Linked DNA regions of Rattus norvegicus. The protein of the gene in region 1 interacts with the protein of each later gene in a pairwise test. Links are inferred from orthologs where the notes say so. Each region holds a gene or a part of one and is shown in the gene's direction. Other genes may lie near its edges.

Region 1 (5,440 bases):
TTTATGTATATGCACCAAACACATGCCTGATGCCTGCAGAGGGCAGAAGGCACTTGGCTCCCCTGGGACTGACCTAGGATATCAGTGCTGGGCTCTCTCAGAAGAATAACCATCTGCCCCTTTACTGAGGTTTGTGTGTATGTGTGTGTTTTCTGTTTGTTGTTATTATGACAGGGTTTCTGCGTAGCCATGGATAGCTTGGAACCCGTAGAGATCCACTGACCTTTGCCTTCCAAAGGCTGGGGTTAAGGTGTGCACCAAACACTGCCTGTATTGTTGGTTTTGTCTTGTTTTTGTTTTTGTTTTTGTTTTTTGTTTGTTTGTTTGTTTGTTTGTTTGTTTGAGACAGGGTTTCTCTGTGAGCTTTGACTGTCCTGAACTAACTCTGTAGACCTGCCTGTTCTTGAACTCATAGGGATCTATCTACCTGCCTCTGCCACCGAAGCACTGGGACTAAGGTCTCTGCCACCATCCTGCTCATGAGTTCTTATTAAAAAGCAAAGCAGGGCTGGAGAGATGGCTCAGCGGTTAAAAGCACTGACTGCTCTTCCAGAGGTCCTGAGTTCAATTCCCAGCAACCACATGGTGGCTCACAACCATCTGTAATGGGATCCGATGCCCTCTTCTGGTGTGTCTGAAGAGAGTGACAGTGTACTCATATAAATAAAAACAAATAAATCTTAAAAAAAAAAAAACAAAACAAAGGAAAGGCAGTACTAGTGAGGTGGTGGTGGCCCACACCTTTGATATCAGCACTCTGGAGGCAGAGGCAGCGAATCTCTGCAAATTAAACAGCCTGCTGTATATAGAGAGACCCTGTCTCAAAAAGTAAAAAAAAAAAAGTAGTAGTATAAGTGGTAGTTGTAATAGTAACAGCAACAACAGGAGTGAGGCAGATGGAGTGGCACATACCTGTCACTTGGAAGAAAGAAGCAGGAAGAGGTGGGGTTAAAGGCCAGTTTCATCTTCATGAGACTGTGTTTCATAAAACCATGCGTCACTGGGCAAGGCGACACGTGTCTGTAATCTCAGCACTGGGGAGACTGAGACAGGAGGGTTCAAGGCCAGCTTGTAAATTCTAGGCTTACCTGGATCCCTCAGACTGTATTTAGGAAGAGAGAAAAAGGAGAGCTTTAAAAGAGAGCTAGTGTGTTGTTGGTCAGTCATAGAGCAATTGCCTGACCTATACACGGGCTTGAGTTTGATCCCAGCCTTGCAAAAATAATATATGATTAATTAAAAACAAAAGCAGAGCTAGAGAGATGGCAGGGTGAGCAAGAGCACTGGCTCTCCATCAGAAGAGTGTTCGATTCCCAGTAGCCACGTGGTGCTTCACAACTGTCTGTAACTCACGCTTGTGGAGCACAGACATATGTAGACAGAACACCACTCCGTATAAATAAGTAGAACAAAGCAACCCTGAAGACTGTGACCTCTGGTCCCAGCTACTGGAGAGGCTGAGCCCTCTCAGCCCAGGAGGTTGAAGCCATCTTAGATAACATAGTGTCACCCCATCTTAAAAACAAAACAAACGGACAGAATCACAAAGGAGACAGAAATGTAGAAATGCCTTGGGAAAATGCCAAGTGTGATTAGGAAGAGGAATTGTCACTGGAGAATATCACCAGGCCGTTGGTGTTGTGCCAGCGGCTGCTTCAGCCTTTCATGTCCAAACTCTGCTTTCTCTGTCTGCAGTACAACAAGGACCTAACCAAAGAGCGAGACGCCCTCAAGCTGGAGCTATACAAGAATGGGTAAGAATGGGAAGGCGGCTGGGCTCTCTGCAGCCTCAGTGTGGAGAGTGGAGACTCAGCCCAGACAGGCTTGGGTTTGTGTAGAGCTGAGCTCTGGTCCCAGCCATGCTCCTGACTCATGGTGTGGTCCCAGGTAACTCAGTCTCTGAGGCCTGTCGCTTGTGACTCAGTGCTCTGTCCTGTGGTGCTGTGGCAGGACTCACACATCACTCTGAAATGGGCTCCTTTCTGTTCTTGATTCCTTCCTTTCCACCTTGCCACTGGCCCCAGCAAAAGTAATGAGGACCTGAGGCAGCAGAACTCAGAACTGGAAGAGAAACTTCGAGTCCTGGTGGCAGAGAAAGCAGCTGCACAGTTGGGGGCAGAGGAGCTGCAGAAGAAGTTAGAGATGTCAGAGCTGCTGCTGCAACAGGTGAGAAGTGCAGCCCTCACCCCTAAGGCCCAGGCACAAAGTCTGTGGCTCCTTGGGGGTGACCTGCGGCCAAGTATGGACAGTTTGGAACCTCCTCCTGTCCTGTGCTGATGCTGTTTACTAATTGCTCAGTGGAGCCCCCGCCACACCTGTGAATCAGAGTCTTAGTGAGGGTGATGTGGCTGTTGGATCCTTACTTTATTTATTTATATTATTGTTGAGACAGTCTTATCAGTAGCCCAGGGTGACCTGTAACTTACCAGGTAAGCCTTGAACTCATGGTAATCCTCCTACCGTAGCCTTCCAAGTGGGAGGTTGTAGGCATGAGCCACTAGGCCTGCTGAAATGCCAGCGTTCTGTTTCATTTAAATGGCCCAACAGGAGTCTGCTTAGCTTTTCCTGACACTTTCTCCTATGGCAATGACCCTGGGTTGTCATCCTAGCTCACACTCTTGTGGGGAGCACTTCAGCAGAACAGCATAGGCTCCCAGATCTAAGCCCTCCTTTCCCTCATGCAGTTCTCTAGCCAATCTGAGGCTTCTGGCAGTAATGAGCAGTTGCAACAGGCCATGGAGGAGCGGGCTCAGCTGGAGAGCCATGTTGGCCAGGTGAGGATCTGTGGGGGGAGGGGAAGGGCATGATCCCCCCTCCCCCCGCAATGGCCCTTGGTGAGGACCTGTGACAGCCCTTCATAACTCGTATATTGACTGATGCAGCTGATGGAGTCACTGAAACAGCTCCAGGTGGAGAGAGACCAGTACGCAGAGAACCTGAAAGGAGAGAGTGCCATGTGGCAGCAGAGGGTACAGCAGATGGCAGAGCAGGTGAGGCCTGGCCTCTGGAGTCTTCGCTCTTCCTGGGCATCAGTGTCGTGGAGCTGAGGGCTTAGGGGCTTCAGTTTTGCAGAGGTGGGACTGGGGATGGGTGGGCCTGGGATCTCCAGCACCCCCACCCTGTGCCTTGGGCAGGTGCACGCACTGAAGGAAGAGAAGGAGCAGAGAGAAAGTCAGGTACAAGAGCTGGAGGCCAGCTTGGCTGAACTCAGGAGTCAGATGGGTGAGTAGGGCAAGGGTGACCTGAGAGCAGGAGTGGGTCGAGGAGCCATGAAGGTGGCTTCCATTGCCCAGGGGGGCAGGTGGGTGTAAGGGCATTGTAATGGGGGCAAAGGGTCTCTGCCAGGACGAGGTGACAAGCCTTGTCATCTCTCTGAGCATGTGCCTTTCTGTGCAAAACAGGGTGGCATGCCTACTACTACACCTCAGCAGGTGACTGAGCATCCCAGATCTGTGCTAGAGTGGCTTGAAACACTTGCCTCATCTGAGACCCTGACAGAAAAGAAGCCAAGGCTTAGGGCAGGGAGCCTGACTCACAGTGCCTGCTTCCTTTCTCAGAGGAGCCACCACCTCCAGAGCCTCCAACTGGGCCTTCAGAGGCCGAAGAGCGGCTGCAGGGAGAGGTTGAGCAGCTGCAGAAGGAACTGGAGGGTCTGACGGGTCAGCTGCGGGCCCAGGTGCAGGACAATGAGAGCCTGAGCCACCTGAACCGGGAGCAGGAGGGACGGCTGCTGGAGCTGGAGCGCGAGGCCCAGCACTGGAGCGAGCAGGCAGAGGAGCGCAAGCAGATCCTGGAGAGCATGCAGAGTGACCGCACCACCATCAGCAGAGCGCTGTCACAGAATCGCGAGCTCAAGGAGCAGCTGGCTGAGCTGCAGAACGGCTTCGTCAGGCTGGTGCGGAGCCTGCAGGCCCTCCTTGCTTACAGGGAACACACTCACCCCTTTTGGTCAGCACCGGCAGAGGATGGGGTGCTGTCCGCCTCACGTTAGGTGGTAGTGGTGAAGGCACCCCACAATCCCGAGCCCTAGGGTGTGTGGGAATGATCCAGCAGCCTTCCCTACTCTGAGAGGGAGTACACATGCAATTCTGGGGACTCCAGCCACATTAGGTCCTACTGACTGTTGCTTTCTGTCCAGACAAATGAGAACATGGAGATTACCAGTGCGTTACAATCAGAGCAGCATGTCAAGAAAGAGCTGGCCAGGAAGCTGGGAGAGCTTCAGGAGAGGCTGGGAGAGCTGAAGGAGACGGTAAGGCCTACTACATGTGGTGTTGGCCACCAGACCTGGGGAGGGTGGGTGCAAGGCCCATCACAGATTAGCCACAGCCTGGAACAGGTATCCCTGGACTGCTCTCTATCCAGGAGCTGCCCTTTTATAGTCGTTGTCCTTTTATGCAGGGCTCTGGGTTCAGGCTGGATTCACACCCATGTGTTCAAGTGCTTCCCATCTCCAAACCTAGTCACTGAAGTTAAAAGATGAGTTTTCTCATAGAGGTGTTAAAGGTTTAATGAGAAAATGTGCATAAAATAACGGGTACTAGTAGGTTTGTGCAGAACAGAATGGGTTAGTTCCATCTGCTTTTCCACTCTTGGGGCCTAAAGGAGTGAGAAAGGTGACTATGTGAGGCTGGGTACAAAGGCAGGCGCTCAGGCCGTGGCAGCCAGCACTGCCTGCCCTCAGCCCTAGCCTTCCTGCAGGTGGAGCTGAAGAGCCAAGAAGCACAGGGTCTGCAGGAGCAGCGAGACCAGTGCCTGTCCCACCTGCAGCAGTACGCTGCCGCCTACCAACAGCACTTGACAGCCTATGAGCAGCTGACCTCTGAGAAGGAGGCACTGCACAAGCAGCTTCTGCTGCAGACACAGCTCATGGACCAGTTGCAGCATGAGGAAGTTCAGGGCAAGATGGCAGCCGAGATGGCCCGCCAGGAGCTGCAGGAGGCACAGGTGAGGCAGCTGTTAAGACTGGGCCCAGGGGGAGGATCTGGCCACCTCTGTCCCTTCTCATTCTCTCCTGGCCCCTTAGGAGCGCCTAAAAGCTAGCAGCCAGGAGAACCAACAGCTCCAAGCCCAGCTGAGCCTCTTGGTCCTCCCTGGGGAAGGTAAGACCACCCAGGAGGAGAGGACTAGAGTTGATGTATTTGGAGCAGCTTTGATTGGGCATTTTCTAGTCACTGGCTGGTCCTAGGGTAGAGAGTGGGGATGCAGGGGTGGGGCTCTGAGCTCTCCTCCCCCAGCCCACTCTGTCTACCTGCTGGGATTATTAGAGGAGACAGCCTACAGCAACTGTCTGCCCCCAGGAGATATGGACCAGGAGGAGCAAGACGAGGAGGTTCCTCAGCCCAGTCTGACCATCCCAGAAGACCTTGTCAGTAGAGAGGCTATGGTGAGCTGGGCTCTGCTTGCCCTTCTCTTTTCTACCTCTGTGGTCCTTGGTTTC
Region 2 (5,440 bases), on another chromosome or scaffold:
TGTGCTCAATGTGATGTAAAGGCCCGAGAGCCCACATCCACCCTGCCAAGTGTTCCTCCAGCCCTCTGGCCACTTGTGCCTATAGAAGTTCCTGTCCCTCAGTACCTGAAGTGGCCTAGCATACCTGACAACAAGAATTAAAATCAGCATGCCAACCAGCGGGGGAAACTCAGCCCGGGTGAAAACATGTTAGGATGACCCAAGAAGGCAAGCTGGCAGGTGGTGCCGTTTACCCTGCTAATACAGAAGTGGCCACCCAATGCTCACACATGTGGGGATGGCGCCGAGCCACTGGTGCCACTGGATGGAAGCCTCCGTATGTGTGTTTGCTCCCACGTGTGCACACGTGAGCGTGTGTTGTGTTGACATTCTCCCTGAAAGAGTCCTGGAGGCACAGTCCCCAAGAGCTGGGTGAGGCTATCAGTTCTAGAACAGTCACAGTACTTAGGGTACAAGCAGCAAACATCAGCTGTGGCCAACACAGCAGAGAAGGAACTTATTAGATTATGGGGCAGGGAGGGTCCCGCCATCAGAGGGGCTGGCTGGAGACATGAACTGGAGAAAGACAGGAACTAAGTAGAAGTGTAGAACCCCAGTAACAGAAGCATATTAGACTTGGCTGTGAGGCAAGATGCTGGATTGCAGGCTGTCAAACATCGGCTCTATTGTCTGGCTTAGGAACCTTTTGGTCCTCACAGCACTTCCCGAGGGCTTGCCGTATGCCTCACCTGGGTGCCCTCTGGGGGCTATGGATTGCAGACACTGGCACAGGCCCTGTCTCCTGGGCCTGAGAGATCAGCAGGCTAGGAGAAGTGACATTCATCCAGCCCAGGGAAACCTGTACCCAGAGTCACAGCTGGACAATATTTTGACTAAGGTAGAGGAGGGCAGATGCTGACAGAAGCCATTCCTTTGCTTGATGAACAATCTCCTGAGGGAGCCTCAGGTCTGCACACTAGGGGACATCTGCAGTTTTCAAAGAAAATGGCGGTGAGTTATAGTTTCCACTGGGAGCCGAAGCCACTTCCAAGTCCCAGTTTAGTGATGAGCTCCCATAGTGTGGGAAGAACATCCATAGGATCCTGCAGTAGGATCGATCCCTCAGGAGTCTAGAGCTTTTGTCTTGTGCTTCTGCACCCCGCTGTGGCTGCCTGGTTACTGTAGGCACTTGTAACTGTGATCCTTCTGAAGCTTTCCTTTTGTGAATCAGAGAGTAGCCAGATCCAGGCGAGGTCAAAGCAGGGCCTCTCGGAAAAAGCCCTGAAGCTTCCCCACAACAAAGAGCTACCCTTCTTTCCTCTACCCCTGGCGTGGATGTCAAACCCCTAACTCCTAGGGGGGACTTGGGAAATGCTCCCTAGTGGGGACCAGAGTGGGAGAAAAGTGCATGAAACTCAGCAGCTGAGGCCACTGCGTGGTGTCAGCCAGTGCAGGGTCTACAGTGAAAAGCAGATCATGTATGCAGGCTTGGAAGGGAGTAGGGAAAATCTGGGACAAGGAATCTAAGATTGGTGCAGAGGGATCACGTGGAAGCAGGCAGGAGATGTGGAGAAATGTTAGTTTAGGAGACAGGGAAGAGAGAGAATGCTATGAGGAGCTGAGCTCACGAACGCACGAACCTTCCACACCATCACCGCCTGGTGCTGTGGCTCCCTAGTCTTTGAACACCGAGTCAGAGCCGGACGGAGATGCTGGAGACTGTGCACAGCTTCCTCCCCGCAGGGCCAGCTTGTTGCTGGGTGTCCAGGATCTCCTGTTTTCTGCCTCAGATCAGATCAGGCTCCCTTTCCTGTTCCTCCAGCCTCTGCGGCTTTGAGCCGGGCCTGGTTAATCACAGTAGCTGTTTTCTGTGGCTTCCCTGCCTTTTCCTGAACGGGGTCGTGACATATTATTCTTGTGCCATCGCTCCAAGGGTCTTTCTGGCAGGTACTGGTCTCTACCTGCTACTGGGGTCTATCTGAGCCACTCATCTTTTCTCTCCTTCTCTTTGGGACGACACCGTTCGCACTTCACAAACATCAATGTAAGGCTAGAGAAAGTGGGCTTCTCTGGTGTTGGTCTATATGGGATACTGAATGACCAGTGCCTGCCTCACTGTCTGTTATTTTTTCTTCCTGCAGAGATCAGCGGTCAAGTGCATCCAGTCCAGGCTTCACTGGGGACTTTCCTATCTCATAGCTCCTCCTGGGGGTAGGGACCAGCTCGTTGGAACCCCAAAGCCCTGTAGACAAATGGCTGCTGGAACATCCACCTTGCTTAGCCTGTCAGGCCCTACTGATCACATGGCTGAGGGCAAACGAGCTTCTCTGAGGCCTTCAGTTGAAAAGCGATGGAAGCTCATGGAACCCAAGCAGACCCAGCCGGGGATGCTCGAGAAAATGACCCTTGTGGACTCTGATGCTGCTGCTGCAGGAAAGGAGGGTCAAGATGCAGCCTACACGGACCTGAGCCTGTCAGCAGCACCAGACAAGCTCCAACCGGACAGGCCTCTGGCCTGCAAGGCGTGCACAGAGCAAAGGCAGAATACCTTCACAGAGCTGTCATGCCTCCAGGAGAGGCCAGGGGACATCCGGGCCCAGACAAGGAAGTCGGAGAACCCAGAAGGCCAGCTTGGCACTCAGCAGCTGCCCGTGAGTCTCCTCAGAGCCTCAGGTGATGGCACAGTGTGCCCGGTATGGCCAGGCGCAGCCCGGAGCGAGCAGAAAAGTGCTTTCAGAAAGCCAGCCAAGCGCCCAGCGGAGAAATCTAAGTGCTCCCCCATGCTTCTGGCTGTTGGAAGTGCAGACGACTCGTGGGAGCTCTCAGGACTCATCACCACTGTGGACATCCCATATTGGGCGCATCTGTCAACTTTCAAATTCATGGGTGATTTCTGGAAATTGCACACATTGTCACAGAACATTCTACTCTGCAATGCGTTCCAGGGGGCTCCTACACCATGGCTGGAGCACACCCAGGTGCAAGCACTCACATCCTCGGCATCTTCTGCCACAGCCTCTCGGGCTCTCTTGCCGCCCACGCTCTCCTCCCTGGGCTTGTCTACTCAGAACTGGTGTGCCAAGTGCAACCTGGCCTTTCGTCTGACAGCTGACCTGGTCTTCCACATGCGGTCCCATCACAAAAGGGAGCATGTGGGCCCCGATCCACATTCTAAGAAACGAAGAGAGGAAGTTCTCACTTGCCCCGTTTGCCATGAGGACTTCCGGGAGCGTCACCATCTTTCCAGGCATATGACTTCACATAGTTAGCATGTGGCAACGGAGAAAACTGATGTCCATAGTTTCCAGTAGGAAGTGGTAAGGCACAGGTGACTCCTGGCCTGTGCTAAGAAGGTTGTCAAAGACGTCTCCGAGACATTCCTTTTGCTTCCCAGAGATGAACAACTCAGTTATAATTCGTCACATGTCCCAGTCCTTGTGTTTTCCTGGAAAAATCAGGCATTAAAATGATAAGCTTCACTCACGGGATGGTAGGACCCATGGCTCAGGGAACAGGGCTGCTCCTGACTCTGTCCCTGGTACTCTGCAAGGAAGCACACAAGCATGACACCCTCGGCTTTGCTGGCAAGCAGGCCTGCATTCAACTTGGGCTTCCACTGTGAGCCCTGACCTTGGACATGCTCCTTCAACTCGGTGACCCTCCGTTTTCTTGTTTTGAAAGTGGTGTGATCGCAGGATGTCATCAGAGTACTGAGGAAGGTGTTGTTTGGATAGTGGCCGGCTTGCTCCCCAGTGCAATGTGAGCAGAAATCGTACGGATCATTGCTTGCACTAGCCAGCTACTTTATTCCTGAAATCTCAGGGGTGAACAAACATCGTGTTTCTCTGCAATAAGACTGGAGGTAGCGTGGCTTGGTGGACTCGGCTCAGGCTGCGTTGAAATCTAGGCCCTTTTGCTGCTGGATCATTATGCTGGATATGGCAAAGTCAGAGTGCAAAATGCCCAGAAAATGGGTCACAAGCCCAAGTTTCCCTGGGCCAACACAAATCCAGGCCTAAAGTGGCTGAGTGGACAAGTGGTCTGGCTTAAACCATAACGAAGGAGTGGGGGCTAGTAACTCCACCCCCCTGTTCTCTGGGTCTTCACACCATGAATGCGTGAGAAGAGAGAAACAGACACTTATTCTGCATGACCTCCAGGTGCCACCCTTCCTTGAGGTTCTGAGTAGGGCAGGAAAGAGCAACTGGAGAACACTCAGAATGAGGTACCCAGGAAGTACTTCATACCCTATCATCTACCCCCCAAAACGCTGCAGGACATAGACAGTGAATTGTCATCCTACTGCAGAGGAATTTAAACTTGGAAATGTTAATGACTTTCCCAGTGCCACTTAGTCAGGAGCACTGGCAGAAGAACAAAATCCCATGAACCCCCAGATCTGAGCTCATGTCTTGTTCAGCCTCTGCATGTCTGCTTAGCTAGCATGGTCACGGAGCATACTGAGGAACTTAGAGGCTGGTCTCCTTACGTTCGATTTCAACTTAACCTTGCTACTTTGCATGATGCACACATGCTCATGCATGTGCATGTGCTTGCACACACACACACACACACACACACACACACACACACACACACACACACCACTCTTCTCTTGAGCACTTTCCTCCATCCTGTATACTAAATAGCCTATCAATCTATTCTGTTCACTGTAGCTCTCCTCACAGGAATGAAAGGGAGTTTTTGGCATAGTTCCGTCATCTAGAACAACGCAGACATACAGTATCTGTTGAAAGAAAGAATAAACGTATAAGTTAATGAATGAATGATCTGCCTGACTCTGGCTTTGCTCCTGCCAACTCTTGAGTTGGCTTTGGGGAACAGGAGGTGGCCATCTGTGAAAAGCACATGCACGCTTACCTCGGGCTCATGCATTGGCCTGCGAGTTCTAGGCCGTCTCTTTGAAAGGGGACCAGTCCCGTCGCAGCATACAGGAGATGCTTAGAATTGATGTTGACACAACTTGGCTTGCAGCCGGATTTGCAAGTTCAAATGTTTAAGAGCTCGAGACTTAGAACTTGCTAGTGACACACTCCCTCAGAGTAAGCATGCTGGGCTGCCAGGCATCCCCTGGAAGTCCCGCCCCCTCTCATGTCTTCCTCCTTTGTGTCACTTGCTCCTCCTGGAGAGAAGCCATGAAGCCACGACTTCCCAAGTTATCTCTTTCATAAAGAAATAGTCTAGATATCTTCAGTTCTCAAAATTCATGGGAAAACTCTAAAGTGGGCCTTTGGGAGGCTGGATTAATGTCTTTATGGGTTCCAGACGGCCAGCTCCCCACTTTCTCTCTGAGGACACAGTTAAAAGGAGCAAACTCTGAACTAGAAAATGGCCCTCACGAAAGATTACATCTGCTGACACATGTTCTCTTTGCGATCCAGAACCGTGAGCAATAAATTCCTGTCATTTGTAAGTCACCTGGTCTAGGGTATTGTGTTAT
Region 3 (4,593 bases), about 150 Mb from region 1:
TCTAGTAGCTTGTTCAGTGTCCTCCTGTGGTTACCATGATGTCTGGAGATCAGCATAGATGCAGGGTGAGAAACCACCTGATGTTTGAGGACAGCATGGTCGGGCTGTTTGTCTCTATCCTTGCCCTATGGCAAGATCAGTAAAAAGCCCCTGCTGTGATGTTGGAACAAGTATGCAATGCTCTGGGAATCTCAGTTGTCCCACATGTGATCAGAACGAGGTGGGGTTGTCCACTAAGCCTCCCAACTAGTGTTCTCTGTGTAGTCCTGACCATCCTGGAACTCACTCTGTAGGCTAGGCTGGCCTTGAACTCAGAGATTCACCAGCCTCTGCGTCCTGAATGCTGGGATTAAAGACATGTACCACCATTACCCAGCATCCACTAAGGTTTAAAGTCCTTTATGGATGTCCATTTTCCTTCTAGGAGGGAGCCATGGATTTGCTGCGGGAGCTGAAGAATATGCCTATTACATTGCACTTGCTCCAGGTAAGTGTTTCTGTCCTGATTTAGGATGGTTCCGGAGACAGCAATTCCAGGGGCATCCAGCAGGGCTCCCTATGGCTTAAGTACCACCTGGCATAACTGCCACAAACAACTCTTCTAAGGAGAGGATTTCTGATTCTCTCTGGTGATCAGGGAGGTGGGAGGTAGGTACCCTGGGTTCCAAAAAGCCATTGGGAGAGATGTTTTCTGTCCCTGCCCATTCCCCAGCTGTTGACTGTGGGAGCCAAGAGTCCTTGATGAGGATTTGCCTCTGGAACAGGCCCCTACCACCTCTGACTCAGGCCACTTGCCTTGCAGTCCACCCGTGTTGGGATGTCTGTCAACGCTCTGCGGAAGCAGAGTTCAGACGAGGAGCTCATTGCACTTGCCAAGTCCCTCATCAAGTCCTGGAAGAAGCTCTTGGGTGAGTCTCAGAATGTAAAGGGCAGCTCTTGCTGGTCAGCACAGCATAGAGTGCTGGCTCTGCTGTCCTGATTGAAGCTATATGTAGTGGGATAGGACAGACATAGATCAGAAAGTACCCATCCCTGGCCTGGAAGTGGATGGAGATGATGGAAGGCATCTGTTGTGATGGGGAGGTGACGGCCTGCGAGGCAGGATCATTGAGACAAGGGAACATGCTGAAGAGGAGGTTTTCAAGCTGCAGGAGGCCAACAGAAAAGGAGGTCCAGGTCAGGATGCTCCAGCTGAAGGAAGAGGAGGTGGGACTTTACGAGAGGTGAACTAGGCAGACAACAACTGATTCTGGGGACAGCGGACAGCTAGGCTGCAGAGATTGTCCTTTTGATTAGGAGGGTAGCCTTCCTTGGTTCTGTCTACTTCTGTGAGACAACCCAGGGCCTACCCCTCTTTACAGTCACATGCCCTGGTCCCTAGTTTAGGCTTTGGGCAAGGTCCTGCCTATGTTTTCACAAGGAACCTTGTGTGAGGCATATGCTTGTTTTTTTTGGCTGGGCTGGGCCTTGATGAGTTGCACAACAGCTTGCTTGGGGAGGCTGGGTCCTAAAGGGGCTGGTGGACTGGCTGGGGACCAGTAGGAAGGTCTGGTAGCCTCCTGGCATCTTGCCTGTCAAATAGCTTTAAGCAGAAAGGATAATGGCGAGACTGAGGCTGGCCCCTCACCTGGCTGCCTGACCAGTCTGCACCATCTGTTTTCTGATAATGGCAGATGTTTCTGATGGCAAATCCAGGGATCAAGGGAGGGGCACACCTTTGCCTACATCGTCCTCAAAGGATGCCTCAGGGACTACGGATCTCAGGTAGCATATCTGAAGGCAGGTACATACATTTATGCCTCTTGACTCAGTTTCCTCAGTGGGAAAGGAGGCTGGTGTCCATTTGCCTGGTTACTGCCCTGAGGGACGTTTCCTCTCCAGGGTGAGATTTACAAGGTTTGTTAGCCTCATGCTGGATACTGTTGCACTGCTCAGTTCCCTTCCTGCCCATCTGAGATGTCTGGCTGTGTCTGCCTGTCACTGGCATCATGGAGAGCTTCATCAAGGAGCTCCTATCCAACAGAGCTGGCCCAACCCCAGGCCCCCTTGCCTACTCCTCAAAACCTACCTTTTTGCTACTCATCAGGACTGGTGTTATGGGTCCCTTCATGCAAATGCCATCCGGAGCTAGAGGCGAGCTGGCTCCCCCGCCAAGCCCCTGGAGTTGAGGACTGAACCCAGGGCCAAGCGCTCTACCACTGAGCTAAATCCCCAACCCCTAGCTCAGCTCTTATCTCCACATTCATGTGGCAACACCATTGCTTTAAAGGTGGTTCGGGCAGCCCTGTTACCATGGAGACTAGGAGCACTAGTAGTAACAGACTATAGATGAGAGGCTACTTTGACCAGAGGCTGGGCAGAGGCCATGACAGGCTAAGCTCTGGACTCCAGTGTAGCATTCCTGATATGATGTTAATCCTGAGCTCAGTAAGTAGTACAGTTGATTTTGGTTCAGAAAACCACCTGAAACTGCTGCTTTCCAGAGGTGGTGTGAGGAAAGGGCCTGGTGGGCCCAGCAGACCTGAGGAAATCCTTGCCCAATTCAATGTTGGGTGGGGTCACCTGTGACATTAAGACTCAACTTTGGGTGACCTCCCACCTCATCTTTACTCCAGGCAACTAGAAGTATCTGCCTGGTTCTGCCATTAGCAGAGAAGTATTCACAGCATGGCCCATGTCTTGGGCCTCCTGGGAAGCACTCAGGAGGTAGCAAGAATATCTCATCCCATTTTGACCATGGAGTGTTGCTCAGACATTGACTGTGAGGGGCTGGCATCCACTTAGGGAGTGACTGTGGGCCTTCTGGCCAATATTGACCTGATGAGGAGGACATAACACGCAGGAATTCTAGGATGAACTAAAGAGATTAAGTAATTGGAGGTCTGTCAGGATAGCGCAAATGGACTTTGGAGATCAGCATGGCATCCATGTTTGCTTTCCTGGGGATCACCTGTGGCCTAGGGAAGGTCAGGGGACCTCCCCGAGGTATCATCAGCTACTGGAGATGTGCAACGGAGCTCAACTGGTTCAGACTGAGCCCAGCAGGCTTTGTCTCTCTAGCTGCAAGAAACCAGACCCACCTAGGACCTCATCCACTCCGAGGATCACCACATTTCCCCAAGTGCCCATCACCTGTGATGCTGTGCGAAACAAATGTCGTGAGATGCTGACTTTGGCCCTGCAAACTGACCGTGAGTACTACAAGGTCTGGATTTCGACTCTGTAGGTGGCCTGGGCCTCTGTCTGCTTCAGAGCTTGCTGCTGGAGAGACAGCTCTTCTCTTTAGCTCGCTGTGACCTAGCAGAGAGGCTAAGGTTTTTGAGGTCACCATAACATCTGTATGGTGGGAAATGTCTCCCTGGAATGCAAGTGTCCCGTTTAGCTTCTAGGGCTCTGTGCAAGCAGAGGGGTGGCAGTTGGAAAAAGATGGTGGGGGAAACAAGCGAGGCTCCCTCTTACAGACGACCACGTGGCTGTTGGTGTGAGCTGTGAGCATCTGTCATCTCAGATCGAGGAGTATATCCTTTGTGTAGGGTAAATGGTTAAGGGCTTCTGAGAGAGTCTATCGTCCACTGAGTTGTGCTTCTCTGGTAGCTATTGGACACAACTGGTAGGCTACCCAGTGCCCTTTCTGGGTGGTCCCTTGACCTTTTCTGGGCCATAAATGGGTAAGGGGCTATGACTACTTAGTAGATTTATCTGGGTCTCAAATAGGAGTGGGCCTAGAGAAGGCAGAACACTATAGACCCTTGGGTCCCCCACAGGTCTTGAGTGGGTAGACTCCTCTCCATGAGCCTGGGAAGAACATTTCCCATATGACTACCAGGAGGGGGAGGAGCTCAGAAACCTCAGATGGGTCCTTAAATACCTGCACGCATCTTCCTGGATGTGGGAAACACTGACATGAAGTACAAGAACCGTGTTCGGAGCCGAATCTCTAACCTGAAAGATGCCAAGAACCCTGGCCTACGCCGGAATGTGTTGTGTGGTGCCATTACACCCCAGCAGATAGCTGTGATGACATCAGAGGTAAGCTCTCCTGGAAGGGCTGGGGCCGGCTGTCTCTACAGAGCTGTGGGCTGCATACGTCACCTTTTTTATCAGGAGATGGCCAGTGACGAGCTGAAGGAGATCCGCAAGGCTATGACCAAGGAGGCCATCCGAGAGCACCAGATGGCCCGTACAGGTGGCACACAGACCGACCTGTTCACCTGCAACAAGTGCAGGAAGAAGAACTGCACCTACACGCAGGTCGGGGCCTACACCATCCTCCATCCTCCTGTCTAGGGGCCGCAGGGTGCACTCCTCCTCCTCTTGGGTATCACCTGTGTCCCTGCTTTTGGCCTGAGGCTCTATGCCAGGGCTCGGTGGCTTGCCCATGCCTATCACGGAGGGATGGGATAGGAGTAGAACATGCTGTTTGTCAGTAGCTGTGGGACCTTGAGGTCCTACTATGGAGGTGGAAGCTGAGGTACTCTAGGAAGGCTATGTGGTTTCCATGGGACATTGGGAGCTTGGGAAGAGGGGACTAAACTAAGATGGTCTCTCTGGTAGAAGCTCTAGGGCTTATGGGAACTTCCATCATCTGCAATA
Region 4 (4,461 bases), on another chromosome or scaffold:
GATCCGAGCTGCCGTGGAGCTTGCCGGAAAGCAGTAAGAATCTATGGGGACAGGGAATGCCCTCTACTGTCCTTTGGAGGAAAACCTCCCTTCCTCTTGACCTCCCTATCTCCTGGGTCTGGCCTGGTTTCAAAGTAGGTATCAGTGGGCCACTTTCACCTATGCAGCTGCAGCTGAGAAGTCAGGTGGGAGGAGAGGAGCCCACCCCATCTCTTCTCCCTTGTTTGCCCCCTTCTCAGAGAGATGCTGCTGAAGCCACACAGCCACATCCAGGTGTTTGAGGGCGCCGAGGACAACTTACCGGATCGGGATGCACTTCGGGCCGCTCAGGCCATCCAGCAGCTGGCAGAGAGGCTCACTGCCGACGACCTGCTGCTTGTGCTCATCTCAGGTGTGGCTCATCTCAGGGGACAGCTGACAGGGATGTCCCCGTGCCGGGTGGTCACAGGGTGAAGTCGGGACCAAGGGAGACACTGAGGAACCTGGAGGGTACCTTGTGGGTAGTGTCGGGTCAGTCATCCATCCTCAGCTGTAAGTTTGCCCTCCCGAACATTCTGTAGTGGTGAAGGCACAGCCGGGTACTTAACACTAAACTACATCAGAACCTTTGGAGAACATTGCTGTCTGGAAGAGTATCACTCAGGCTCCCGAAGCTGGTTTCCAGCCCCCACTCAACTCTCTCCTTGTGTATCTGCTGTTTTTTCTTGTTCTTCCTTAGCTTTAAATTTTAAATTTATTTATTTATTTATTTGTTTGTTTATTTTGTGGTACTGGGGATTGAGTTCAGAGCTTCACACAGGTTAGGCAAGCATATCCCAGCCCTTCTGGGATCTGGTGGACCCTAGGTAGGGGGCACAACTTCACTCTGTGTCCACAAGGGGGCACTGCAACCCCACCTTCTTAGACCACTTCCCTTGTGGCCTGTCTGGTTCTCTGTGAAGGGCTGTCTCCTCTCCCTGACACCCTCACTGACTCTGCAGGTGGGGGCTCAGCCCTGCTGCCCGCTCCTATCCCACCTGTCACACTAGAGGAGAAACAGACGCTCACCAAGCTGCTGGCGGCCCGAGGAGCCACAATCCAGGAGCTGAACACGATCCGCAAGGCCCTGTCCCAGCTGAAGGGTGGAGGGCTGGCTCAGGCCGCCTACCCTGCTCAGGTGCTCTAATCACTTCTTCAGTCAGCCCTGTGTTCCCAACATGTGAGGGGGAGATGAGAGCTTATCTTAGAACGTAGGAATTGGCAGGGGCCTCGTCTGGAAAGTCCTGGGAGGAAGCTGAAAGGGGGTAAGAGGGAGGCTCCCTGGTTAGGTGTTCTGCCAGCCCACCTGAAAGTGGCAGGAAGTGGGTAGATGTGGGCACGGAAGCATGCCAGGTGCTGTATACCCAGGGTCAGTTTGTCCTTTAGGGCCCTGGGACATGGAGGTGCGACTCTGAACCTCATTCTGTGGCCTTTGTCTAGGTGGTAAGCCTCATCTTGTCAGATGTGATCGGGGACCCTTTGGAGGTGATTGCCAGTGGCCCTACAGTGGCCAGCACCCACAGTGTGCAAGATTGCCTGCATATTCTTAATCACTATGGTCTCCGTGCTGCTCTGCCACGCTCTGTGAAGACCGTGCTCTCTCGGGCTGACTCTGATCCCCACGGACCACATACCTGTGGTCACGTCCTCAATGTGATCATCGGCTCTAATTCTCTGGCCCTGGCCGAGGCTCAGCGGCAAGCTGAGGTCCTGGGCTACCACGCCATGGTGTTGAGCACAGCCATGCAGGGTGATGTAAGACGTGTGGCTCAGTTCTATGGGCTGCTAGCCCGGGTGGCTGCAGCCTGCCTCACTTCATCCACAGCTGAGCGTCCCTTGGAGGAGGAGGCAAAACTCCATCAGCTGGCAGCTGAGCTCCAGCTCCCGGACCTGCAGCTGGAGGAGGCTCTGGAAGCTGTGGCAAAGGCTAAAGGGCCAGTCTGCCTCCTGGCTGGCGGGGAGCCCACCGTGCAGCTGCAGGGATCTGGCAAGGGCGGTCGGAACCAAGAACTGGCCCTGCGTGTGGGAGCAGAGCTGGGAAAGCAGCCACTGGGGCCTGTTGATGTGCTGTTCTTGAGTGGAGGCACTGATGGGCAGGACGGGCCTACAAAGGTGGCCGGGGCCTGGGTCATGTCTGACCTTGTTAGCCAGGCTTCTGCTGAAAACCTGGATTTTGCCACCTTCCTCGACAACAATGACTCGTACACGTTCTTTTGCAGCTTCCAGGGTGGAACACATTTGCTGCATACAGGGTTGACGGGAACCAATGTCATGGATGTCCACCTCCTGGTTTTTCATCCTCAGTGATGGCATAGCTCACAGTCTGAGAGTTTATAAGAGGCCTTCAAGGGCAGGGTCTGGTAGGAAGACAGAGGACTGATTCCCAGGGCCCATTGTGCTTTAGGAAGCCCTCCTCTGTTGCTCCACCCACCTCCCACAGATCTACTCCATGTTTGTTCCCCCAACTAGATTAGAAGATGGGGGTTCCTTTACACCCCTCTTTTCTGTCATGTCAGCAGGAAGCTTCTGGGCCAGTTCACAGTTCTGCCCATGCCCTCAGCCTGTTTCTTCCATGGCGCAAAGGTAGGGAGACTGAAAATAAAGAGGACCATGTTGTGGGAATCTCAGTTCATCTTCCCTCAGTGCCTCTTCTGTAACACAGACCTTCGGGGGCTGCTGGGGCACGTGACGTGGTCCTAGCATTGGTGCCAGCACCTTGCAGAGTTTCTCACGCTGTTACGGGAGTCTGTGACGATTGAATCTGGCGTCTGGCAGCCTCATGTGGGTGAGCAGGACAGGCTTATCGTCGCCTGCTTAACCATGACTCCCTGTGGCAACCTGGTCATGGTGTCTCCTCTCCGGCTGTAGCCTGGCTGGGTGGAAAGGATCTACTTGCCACCAAGGATCTTCCTTCTGTATTTGGACCACTCTTTGCTTTCCCCCTTACCCCCTGGTTATCAAGGGTCTTCTTCAGGCTGCAGGGCATTGAACTTGCTCTCCTGTGTCCCCTTTTCCCAGGCTAAACATGCCACGTTCCAGGGCCGCTCCTCTGGGCCCTGGTGCCAGCATTTCAGTGAGTGTCTCGAGCACTAGAATGGTAGGTCAGAGCGCTGAAGGAGCTCAGCAGTCCCTCAGCCCATCCTGTCATAGCTGGCAGAGGTGAGTCACTTGGCTTGGCCTGCAGCCACTGGCCTGGTTTGCCTTGTGCCCTCTTGTTCCACATCAGAGCCCTCTGTTGGCTACCCTCACCGTGCGCCACGGCTCCAATCCCTATATGAGCGAGCAATAGTATCACATAGGAATAAAAAGCCATAGAGAACAGTGAGGACTGGGGCGGTCCCTGAGGGTGCGCAGGCCTCTAGGTCAGAGCTGATGTGTCCTGGGAAGGGCCTCCTTCTCCACTGGGCCCTGGACAGTCTGGCTAGCAGTTGGGCCCCATGGTTTGCAGACCTGGCTCCTGTGTGTTCCCCAGATTGAGAAGGAGGTAAGCAAGGTAAGCCAGCTCTGAGGACCAGATAGGTTTAGGGAAGTGGAGTGGTGAGTACCATTTTCTTTCCTTCTGTTCCGTGCAGAGGGTCAGTGTCTCAGAGGATTTTCTCTTTACACTGGTGTTCTGGAATCCTGTAGGAGTTGCTGTCCCTGTGTCCTTGACCTCGGGAATGTATTCCTACTGGACGTTGAGCTGCAGGTGAGAACTTCAAGAGAGGAGCTTTTCAGTCACATCGATGTCTCTGTGTGGTGACCATGTGAGCCCTGGACACTGGTGTCACAATACATCCGTAGTGTACCCATGGGTGCTTTTCAGAGTAGGGCTGCTTTTGGGGACTGCTGCCACCATTGCCTGCTGAGGGCTGTGCATATAGGCAGAGTCTTGATGGAAGCTCCCCTTATCTGACTTGGTCCCTTTCCCGTAACCATGCTTTCAGAGTCTGGGGGCCAGGGTCTGAATTGGGCCCCATTAGAGCAAACGGTTTGTGGGCTTAGTCTACTGTATTTGCTCACCTATATATTGGTCGGTCTAGATGATAAAAATATGCAAATTCCTTACGGTTAGAGCTCAATAGGACTTTTTTTTCTCCATCAATATCAATTATGTAGCCAGGCCTGGTGTGCAGGCCTATGATCCTAGGTACTTGAGAGGCTGGAGGACTGAGAGTTGGTGGCTAGCCTGAGCTACAGAGGGAAAGACAGCCTAGGCAATCAAGAGAGATCCCATTTTAAAGAGCCTTAAAAAGGGCTGGGCAGTGGTGGCACAAGCCTTTAATCCCAGCACTTGGAAGGCAGAAACAAGCAGATTTCTGAGAGTTTGAAGCCAGCCTCGTCTACAGAGTGAGTTCTGGGACATCCAGTGCTACACAGAGAGAAACCCTGTCTCACCAACAACCACGACGACGACGGCAACAGCAGGACTGGGAATGTGGTCAATGAGACTACTATAGCATG

Evidence for each region. The genes of interacting proteins can lie anywhere in the genome.
Region 2: the proteins of Golga2 (region 1) and Zfp488 interact in binary tests that used the Homo sapiens proteins (3 or more experiments, as listed by UniProt). The two-hybrid records come from large-scale screens. The link is inferred for Rattus norvegicus from reciprocal best matches to the Homo sapiens genes GOLGA2 and ZNF488.
Region 3: the proteins of Golga2 (region 1) and Tcea2 interact in binary tests that used the Homo sapiens proteins (3 or more experiments, as listed by UniProt). The two-hybrid records come from large-scale screens. The link is inferred for Rattus norvegicus from reciprocal best matches to the Homo sapiens genes GOLGA2 and TCEA2.
Region 4: the proteins of Golga2 (region 1) and Glyctk interact in binary tests that used the Homo sapiens proteins (3 or more experiments, as listed by UniProt). The two-hybrid records come from large-scale screens. The link is inferred for Rattus norvegicus from reciprocal best matches to the Homo sapiens genes GOLGA2 and GLYCTK.

What each region holds. Positions count from the first base shown.
Region 1 is NC_086021.1:35,993,989-35,999,428, forward strand, and holds part of Golga2 (golgin subfamily A member 2), read left to right. Parts: intron 1-1,695; coding exon 1,696-1,754; intron 1,755-2,024; coding exon 2,025-2,166; intron 2,167-2,684; coding exon 2,685-2,774; intron 2,775-2,882; coding exon 2,883-2,990; intron 2,991-3,134; coding exon 3,135-3,222; intron 3,223-3,557; coding exon 3,558-3,895; intron 3,896-4,138; coding exon 4,139-4,252; intron 4,253-4,701; coding exon 4,702-4,947; intron 4,948-5,026; coding exon 5,027-5,102; intron 5,103-5,267; coding exon of another isoform or gene 5,268-5,303; coding exon 5,304-5,386; intron 5,387-5,440. UniProt on the Homo sapiens protein: Peripheral membrane component of the cis-Golgi stack that acts as a membrane skeleton that maintains the structure of the Golgi apparatus, and as a vesicle thether that facilitates vesicle fusion to the Golgi membrane.
Region 2 is NC_086034.1:9,288,613-9,294,052, reverse strand, and holds the end of Zfp488 (zinc finger protein 488), read left to right. Parts: intron 1-2,120; 5' UTR 2,121-2,231; coding exon 2,232-3,248; 3' UTR 3,249-4,767; downstream 4,768-5,440. UniProt on the Homo sapiens protein: Transcriptional repressor. Plays a role in oligodendrocyte differentiation, together with OLIG2. Mediates Notch signaling-activated formation of oligodendrocyte precursors.
Region 3 is NC_086021.1:189,176,202-189,180,794, forward strand, and holds part of Tcea2 (transcription elongation factor A protein 2), read left to right. Parts: intron 1-424; coding exon 425-487; intron 488-802; coding exon 803-908; intron 909-1,673; coding exon 1,674-1,764; intron 1,765-3,045; coding exon of another isoform or gene 3,046-3,060; coding exon 3,061-3,191; intron 3,192-3,461; coding exon 3,462-3,518; intron 3,519-3,874; coding exon 3,875-4,029; intron 4,030-4,104; coding exon 4,105-4,251; intron 4,252-4,593. UniProt on the Homo sapiens protein: Necessary for efficient RNA polymerase II transcription elongation past template-encoded arresting sites.
Region 4 is NC_086026.1:115,674,255-115,678,715, reverse strand, and holds the end of Glyctk (glycerate kinase), read left to right. Parts: coding exon 1-33; intron 34-239; coding exon 240-391; intron 392-980; coding exon 981-1,156; intron 1,157-1,458; coding exon 1,459-2,325; 3' UTR 2,326-2,645; downstream 2,646-4,461.